2 linked regions of the Daphnia pulex genome follow. The main gene of each other region encodes a partner of the protein of the gene in region 2 in a complex. Links are inferred from orthologs where the notes say so. Each region holds a gene or a part of one and is shown on either strand. Other genes may lie near its edges.

Evidence for each region.
Region 1: the proteins of paired amphipathic helix protein Sin3b-like (region 2) and sin3 histone deacetylase corepressor complex component SDS3-like are in contact, whole or in part, in an NMR structure (PDB 2N2H), measured with the Mus musculus proteins. The link is inferred for Daphnia pulex from reciprocal best matches to the Homo sapiens genes SIN3A and SUDS3. Residues at the interface, in NP_001103821.1 of Mus musculus: Glu616, Glu619, Leu620, Val623, Arg672, Ile673, Tyr674, Ala675, Lys677, Asp680, Ile681, Ile691, Ala692, Ile695, Val696, Arg699, Met702, Lys703, Glu706, Trp707, Glu709, Ala710, Phe714; in NP_848737.3 of Mus musculus: Ala205, Leu207, Asn208, Tyr209, Leu210, Leu211, Gln215, Ile216, Glu218, Asp219, Leu220, Thr222, Leu223, Leu226.

Annotation. Positions count from the first base shown.
Region 1 is NC_060026.1:2,507,386-2,510,906, reverse strand, and holds sin3 histone deacetylase corepressor complex component SDS3-like, read right to left. Parts: upstream 2,624-3,521; 5' UTR 2,410-2,623; coding exon 2,226-2,409; intron 2,157-2,225; coding exon 2,090-2,156; intron 2,024-2,089; coding exon 1,910-2,023; intron 1,846-1,909; coding exon 1,644-1,845; intron 1,578-1,643; coding exon 1,273-1,577; intron 1,216-1,272; coding exon 1,105-1,215; intron 1,044-1,104; coding exon 962-1,043; intron 894-961; coding exon 798-893; 3' UTR 650-797; downstream 1-649. Other genes in the region: unconventional myosin-XIX-like, read left to right, coding at 1-362, 422-520; ubiquitin carboxyl-terminal hydrolase 30-like, read left to right, coding at 2,844-3,159, 3,222-3,511.
Region 2 is NC_060024.1:9,524,485-9,528,136, forward strand, and holds part of paired amphipathic helix protein Sin3b-like, read right to left. Parts: coding exon 3,203-3,652; intron 3,073-3,202; coding exon 2,918-3,072; coding exon of another isoform or gene 2,873-2,917; intron 1-2,872. UniProt on the Homo sapiens protein: Acts as a transcriptional repressor. Corepressor for REST. Interacts with MXI1 to repress MYC responsive genes and antagonize MYC oncogenic activities. Also interacts with MXD1-MAX heterodimers to repress transcription by tethering SIN3A to DNA.

The sequences.
Region 1 (3,521 bases), on a different chromosome or scaffold from region 2:
CTAATAAAGTGAAGCGCTGGTGGAAGAGGAAGCGTTCCGCTGCGCAGCTTCTATTGAAAGTCGGACAGATAAGTAATTCCGTTCGCGTCGTTCAACGAACCGTCCGTCGATGGCTCGCCCGTGTCAGAGCGCGCAGAGCAATCAAGCAGCTACGTGCTCAGATTTCTTGTCCTCCTCCTGTCGCTCAAATTGATGAAAATTGGTGTGATTCAAATACTACGTTGAAAGTAGTCAGCCTTAATTGGGCAGAGAACAACAATTGTGCCAAACCGACCCAGTCGCCGAGTCTAATCTCTTTACAACTTTCACGCCTTAACTATTTTTACAGCGTCGGAGTCATCTCGATACGACGGCCTCCATCGGTATTTTATTCTTTTCTCTAAGAATCGATCGATTTTCTAATGTTTCACTTAAATGACAGGTCCGAGCCCGTTTTATAACCCGAAAAACGTGCCTTCCATTCTCCTTCATTCCGCCTAAAACACAACTGCCTACAGGACTAACAGACGCCTACTTATAAAAATAAATGCATGTACTATAGAATTATAATTCCGTTTAACACACACATCAAAGGGACCACAAAACTCCCTAGTCTTAATAAATGGTGTAGGACGAGTGAGTGATAATAAATTATGAAAATACGAGTGTCTGATATTGCTTTCCTCGGTCTAAATAGATACCGTAGGCGCGGAACAAAACGCTGTCCTTTGTAATCGGGAATTAAAGTCACAATTAACAATTTCGTACACACACATACACGCAAAATAAATGAGTAGATGATGCCGTTGTTAATTAGTTTACGGAGCTTTGCGGCCGAGGGTATATTTTCCTCGGCAAAGCTGCCAGATGGAAATTTTCACTTTGCCTCCATCTGCTGGACGACGCACCCAAACCTACAACAGGGAAAATTTAAAATTGAGTCTCCATTTAATCGAAATACTAATTTAAAAACTGGCATTACCGCTTCGGTTCCGATTGCGGAAATTACACCTGCAAAACGGGCCTTTTTGCCTTCAACTTGAACCGTTTGCCCTCGATGGTACCTGTTAAAACATAGGCGGATTAACAAGAGGGTGAGAATAACAGTACAAAGGGAAAACTTACCATCTTTTCTCGTAAAAAAGCTTTCCATCTTCAACTCGAGCCTCGAATGTTGCTTGATTCTCTCCGCTGTTCCAACCAGAGTAGCCGTAAGATTGGCCGTGCACTGGGGATCTATTAGACATGAATTTTTACTCACTGTTTTCTTTCTGAACTATTCAATCAAATTACCTTGATGGTGACTGGTCAGATTGTCTAGCTGGGGAACTGTAATTGCTCCGTCTATTTGAAATGCCATTGTTAGTTCCTCGAACTGTCGAGGGTCCATTTCCACCTGCCGAGGTCTTGGTTGGTGCGGCTCCAGATGCACCACGTTCAATAGCTCTTAAATCATCCACAACATCATTCTCATCAAGAAGATAAGCCAATTGAGCAGGAGCTAACTTCCTTCTTTTGTCAGAAGTGCCTGAGGAGGAGTTGACGTTGACAGGATCGTTAGGACGACGACGTAGTTTTCTTGTTGTTGGCGCTTTGATCTGTTGGAACGAAAAGTGAAAGGATAAAGAATGGAAAAGAAAAGAAATGTCAGCCAAATTACTCACTTCCATGGAGTCTCCTGTGAGCTCAATGGTAATTCGTTCCGTTTCTACGTGACGCTTCTTCTCTTCCAGCTCGGAAATAAGATTTTCTTGAAGCTCGATTTTTTTATCTTCCAGTTCTCGGGAAGCCGACTGTTTTTCGCTGATATATTCCTCTTCTGCTCTTACCATTTCATAGTCCTTCCACACTTCATTTAGCAGCAGTCTAAATTACAGATTTGAATAATGCATTATGAGTCACACATGAAATGCTTCAAGCAATCAATTACCTGTCTTTGTAGACTGTTTCCAGCTTCTTTAATTTTCTCAGATAATCAGGATGAAGGCCTTGTTCAAGTTGTTCTAACTGTTGTTTCAAATAGGCCAACTTGTCACGGTAAATCCTACAAACAGGATGAGTTATTTTAAAACCAATCTCTCTCTTTGGACAAGAGATATTTCAAACTTACTGTTCTCTCATTTCCGTGTACTCATCTTCCTTTTTCTGTTGGTCTGTTTCACTGGCATCTTCAGTATCTAAACTCACAAAAGTGGTTTAGAACAATGCAAGCAAAGCATATACTTGGAAATGTGTTTTACACTCACCTTCATCACTAGGCTGTAGTTGCGCTCTCTCACCTTGCCTGATGAGAGCTAGATCTTCTTCAATACCTCTAACATTAGAGAACTGTGCAGCACTGATTTCTTCGACAAGGCTTGGAGCTGTGCGACTGTAGGGGAAACTGGACGATCCCCGTGATGGAGACCCCACGTATGCCATTTCTCCCATAACAGTCTTTCTCACACTTAAAACTGAACAAAACGTGTCCTATATTGATTTTTCCCAACCAGCAGACCAGCTGTAAATCTCCTATGAAATGAACATACAATCACTAACACTAACTTGTCACAATTTCCCCAAAATACCTTTTTCTTTTACAACAAAAACGAACGAATTTCCCCCCAGTCCAACCGACACTATGCTTTCTAAACAGCTGCTTCTGCTAGTAGCGAACGAATCGATTTGAGAAAATATCGATTGCAAAACTAATCGATATTTCGTTTTCATAACAAATGCTCTAAAATTCTGAATCGTAGGATTAAATTGTTTTCTAACTTCTAAGTTTGTTTCCCATTTTGAGTGTTTGTATAATTAAGAGCTGTAAATGGTATGGTGTAGTTTGGTGTACATACAATGATCTAAAAAAATGTTTCACTCCTGAAATGTTAAAGTCATTTGTAAGACAATACTGGTTAACTGGGGCTGCTACAATTGCAGTTGTTGCATCAGCGGCATATTATGTGGCTATTGGTGAGCCAGACAACTTTCAAAATGTGAAGAAGCCGAAGAACAAGTCACGAAACAAATTAGCTGGCCTAGTGAATGAGGGAAATACTTGCTTCATCAACACCACATTACAGGCATTAGCGTCCTGCCCCATCTTCATTTGGTGGATTGATTCAATTTTGGCAAAACCATCATCAGATGCTACAGGAAACTGCCTGGAAACTACTTCTAGCCTAAATTTGACAATGGCTGGTGAGTTTTGTTCTCTCCCCAATCTTCACACACCTGTTAATAATCATCTTTTGAATTAATAGTCATAAACAATCAGCATCCAACAATTACTGCTGATTTATTCAACACAAGGCAATTAATTCAGTCATTAGAGAAGCATGGCTGGAACCTCAAGTCAGAAGAACAGGATGCACATGAATTTTTTAATATGTTGTTTACCACCATTGATGAAGAGATCAACAAGAAAAGCAAAATTGTCAAAGGCATATCAATTGATGAGCAGGATACTACTACTGTATGCCATTCAATTTCATCTTCACCATTTAGAGGCAACTTGGCTAGTCAACTCTGTTGCTTAACATGTGGGCACAAAGTAATTTAAA
Region 2 (3,652 bases):
AAAATGACAATTTTCCACTTCTAGAAAAATTTCACCCTTTTCCCCCCGCGCGTAGTTGCCAGTTTTAAAAAATGTCTACTTTTGTAATCGTAGGGGGAGAAAGAAAAAGATAGCTACGACGGCAGCTTCCTCCGCTAGAGGCACTGAAAGGTTGAAATTCTAGGCCTGTGTAGCAGACGTTTGTTACGACTTTTTGTTGTGAATTGTCAGTTTGTGACTTGACGGCAATTCGAATTCTAACTTTTTGAAGAGATTGCTCTTTTAGCAATATGGCTTCTTTCATCCCCATTCTCGAGCCCGACAACAAGATAGAAAGAAAGAAGTTTGCTTTGAAACACCTAGACCAGTCTGTTGGAGAATTTTGGACCAACGCTTGTTTCGGTGACGAGCAACGATATGCGTAGGTTTATTTAGTAGTGTACAATTTCACAAATGACTTATTCGTGTTATAATTTATTTTCGTAGATTCGATAGCAGTGGGCAAATAACTTTTCATGGTGGTTCCCATGGACTAAATGTCCCCAACACAGTTGCTGTATGGGGCTGTGCAAGTGCCGATGGAGTACAAGCATTGGAAAAACTACATGGCAGATTAGATACAGCCCAGTATTTGAAGTTGTTGCGATGTCATTTGTTGCCACACCTTGCTGGTAGTAAACTCTATATTCATGATTATTTTCCGGTCCACACTGCAAAGTCTGTCCGTGACTTTATTGCTGCCAACAACATTAATGTCATGAAGGAATGGCCAAAGAAATCTGGGGACCTTATGCCTTTGGAGAAAGTGTGGCGAGAGATTTTGAAGAGACTGCAGCAGGCTAAAAGATTTGTATTCAACTGTGACGATCTATGGAATGCAATTCGTGAAATGTGGGAAATTCTCGTAGCAGAAGGCTTCATTGTCAACATCATTCAGTCTCTCCCTCAACAATTAAATTCAATTGTTGAAACTGATGGTGAGTGGGTAATAGTTTAACTCTGTAGGCTACTTCTACTCTGAACAATAAACTTTATACAGGTGAAAAAAAGGCATTTTCCAAGTACTTTTATTACCCAAATAACTTATAACACTACATTCGTATGTTAATAGCGGGTGTGACCTCCTTTAGCCATTAGCACTGCTCGACATCTTTTTTTCATGGAGAAAATATATTTTCTGAGAATTTTTCGAGGAATAGCCTTCCAGGTTTTTTCAATGTTCCTCCAAATGCAATCTTGTGACGAACGTTGAGTCTTATCTAATTTACTGTCAACGTAGTCCCACATAGCCTCGATGGGGTTGAGATCGGGACTTTGCGGAGGCCAAACCATCCGCACAAGATCCCCTTACATGAAATAGTTTGTAACAAATAGTTAGTGAAGGGGAAACGTAGAACCACAAAATTAAGACTAACCAGCTTTTTCTTTTGTCTCCAAATAATTTCGGCAGTATTTGGACGCGTGTTTAGGATCGTTATCCTCTTGAAATACGAATCCTCTTCCGATCAAGCGTTTTCCCTCCGGAACGGCAGTGTGTACCAATATGCTATGATACATCTTTTTGTCCATGATTCCCACGATACGTTTCATTCTCGTTACACCTTGGGTTGATATTCCAGCCCACACCATTATGCTGCCCCCTCCAAATTTCACGGTGGGTGTTAAGCACTCTTTATTGAATTTTTCACCGGGTCTTCTACGCACGTACATTCTTCTTTTGGTCCCAAAAAGTTCAAATTTCGATTCATCCGTAAACAACACTTTTCTCCACTGTGTCTTTGACCATTTGACATGTTTCTTTGCAAACACAAGTCGTTTTTTAATATTTTTCATACTTAGCAGCGGTTTACGAGCAGAAACTCTTCCGAAAAGATGCCAGGAATGTAAAGTTTTATTTACAATCGAATGAGAAGCAGGAAATTTTCTACCCATATTAAACTCCTCGGTAATCACTTTTAAAGGTTTCCGACGATCACGAAGAGCGCATAACTTCAGATAGCGTTTATCAGCCTGGCTTAACAGTGCCGGGCGTCCACTTCTAGGCAAACTTTCACAGCTATTAGTAGTCTTAAATCGTTTTATAGTGTCTTGCACTGTTGATGGTTTCACGCTGGTTAAAGAACTAATTTGCCTGACTGAGAACTTTAATTTATGATAAGATATAATTTGAGATCTTTCTTCGACAGAAAGATCCTTTCGTTTTCCGCGAGTCATTTCGAAAGTGTTGACGACTAGAACGAATACTTTGTAATGAGAAATAATCATACTTTTTCATTTTCGGAAAAGAAAACGTAGAAAAATATTTAAATTAGCGGGCTAGGAAGCTTTTCAAATTTTCGCATTTTTTTCTACCCCAGCCTCTTAACCCCAGTGCCTCTAGCGGAGGAAGCTGCCGTCGTAGCTATCTTTTTCTTTCTCCCCCTACGATTACAAAAGTAGACATTTTTTAAAACTGGCAACTACGCGCGGGGGGAAAAGGGTGAAATTTTTCTAGAAGTGGAAAATTGTCATTTTCAATTCAAAATTAAAATGATTTTTCAAATTGCATGGGGGTCAACATTTCAGATGAGGTTATAGAGCTAACGATGCTCTTTTTTTTAAGCCCTAAAGAACTCTCCTAGCCCTATTTTCCGTCCAGTACAAGAGAGCCAAAGTAGTACGATTTACTACTGGCCCTCTCGACTGTGCGGAAACTTTTACCTCCAATTTAAAAGGGACGTTCCCGTGAACGAAAAAATCCCCAAAAAATATATGTTATACACCTTAACTCTAAGAACCCCCTGTCCAAAAATCGTTTTCGTCCGACGAAAACTTGATTTTTGGCGAATTTTCAAAAAACCCGTTTTCCCATTAGCTTCTCTCAGCTGTGCGGAAACTTTGTGTAGCTACTGTAAGTAGCTGTTTTGGTTAATTGAAACACGTTTTTATGGTTACAAACCTGTTTGGCTCGAGTGAATGCATGTCTCTTGTACAGGACGCTCTCGCTATTGGCCACAAAAACCATTTGATACGAATTGACGTTAAAAACACAATGGGCATCCTCGCTTACTGTAACGTCCTTCTGTGTGGTGTCGTCCACATCCATGGGAACATCTAAAAACAAAATACAAAGAATGCAAAATAATTATTCATTCATTGACAACCAAAATTAATGCGAACAATTGGCTTAATTAAAGGTTTGCAACACTCACGACATGCTCAAGATAATATCTAAATATCTTACCGGAAGTCTTGGAACGCGATGCCTTAGCGGTGCCATCTTTCCGACGACGTCGTTCCCATTGCTTCAGATTTCTTTGCAGGAAGACTGGTTTTCTAACGCGGGAATGGGCTGCGATCAACGACGGATCCGTGTTTTTTCGTCTGGTTTTCTCCGACATAACTTGATCCATTCGATCTGAAACATAGCCCTCGACGTAATTTGACCAGTTACGCACATCTTGCAAAGGAGGATTGTCTCCTGAACAGCTGGAGTGTGTATCCGTGTCCAGCATTTCAATTGCGATAGTTGTCTCTTCGTTCTTATGCCATAAAACAATTCTGAAGAGGTTTTCGTCAGCTAGTAACTGTTCCATTCTTCGCTGGTAAGACATTTCAGACGCAGATTGTTTTCCTTCGTCATTGCATCCATCTTCGGTCAACATGCCTTTCGAAGAACCCTTCAGCCCATGTT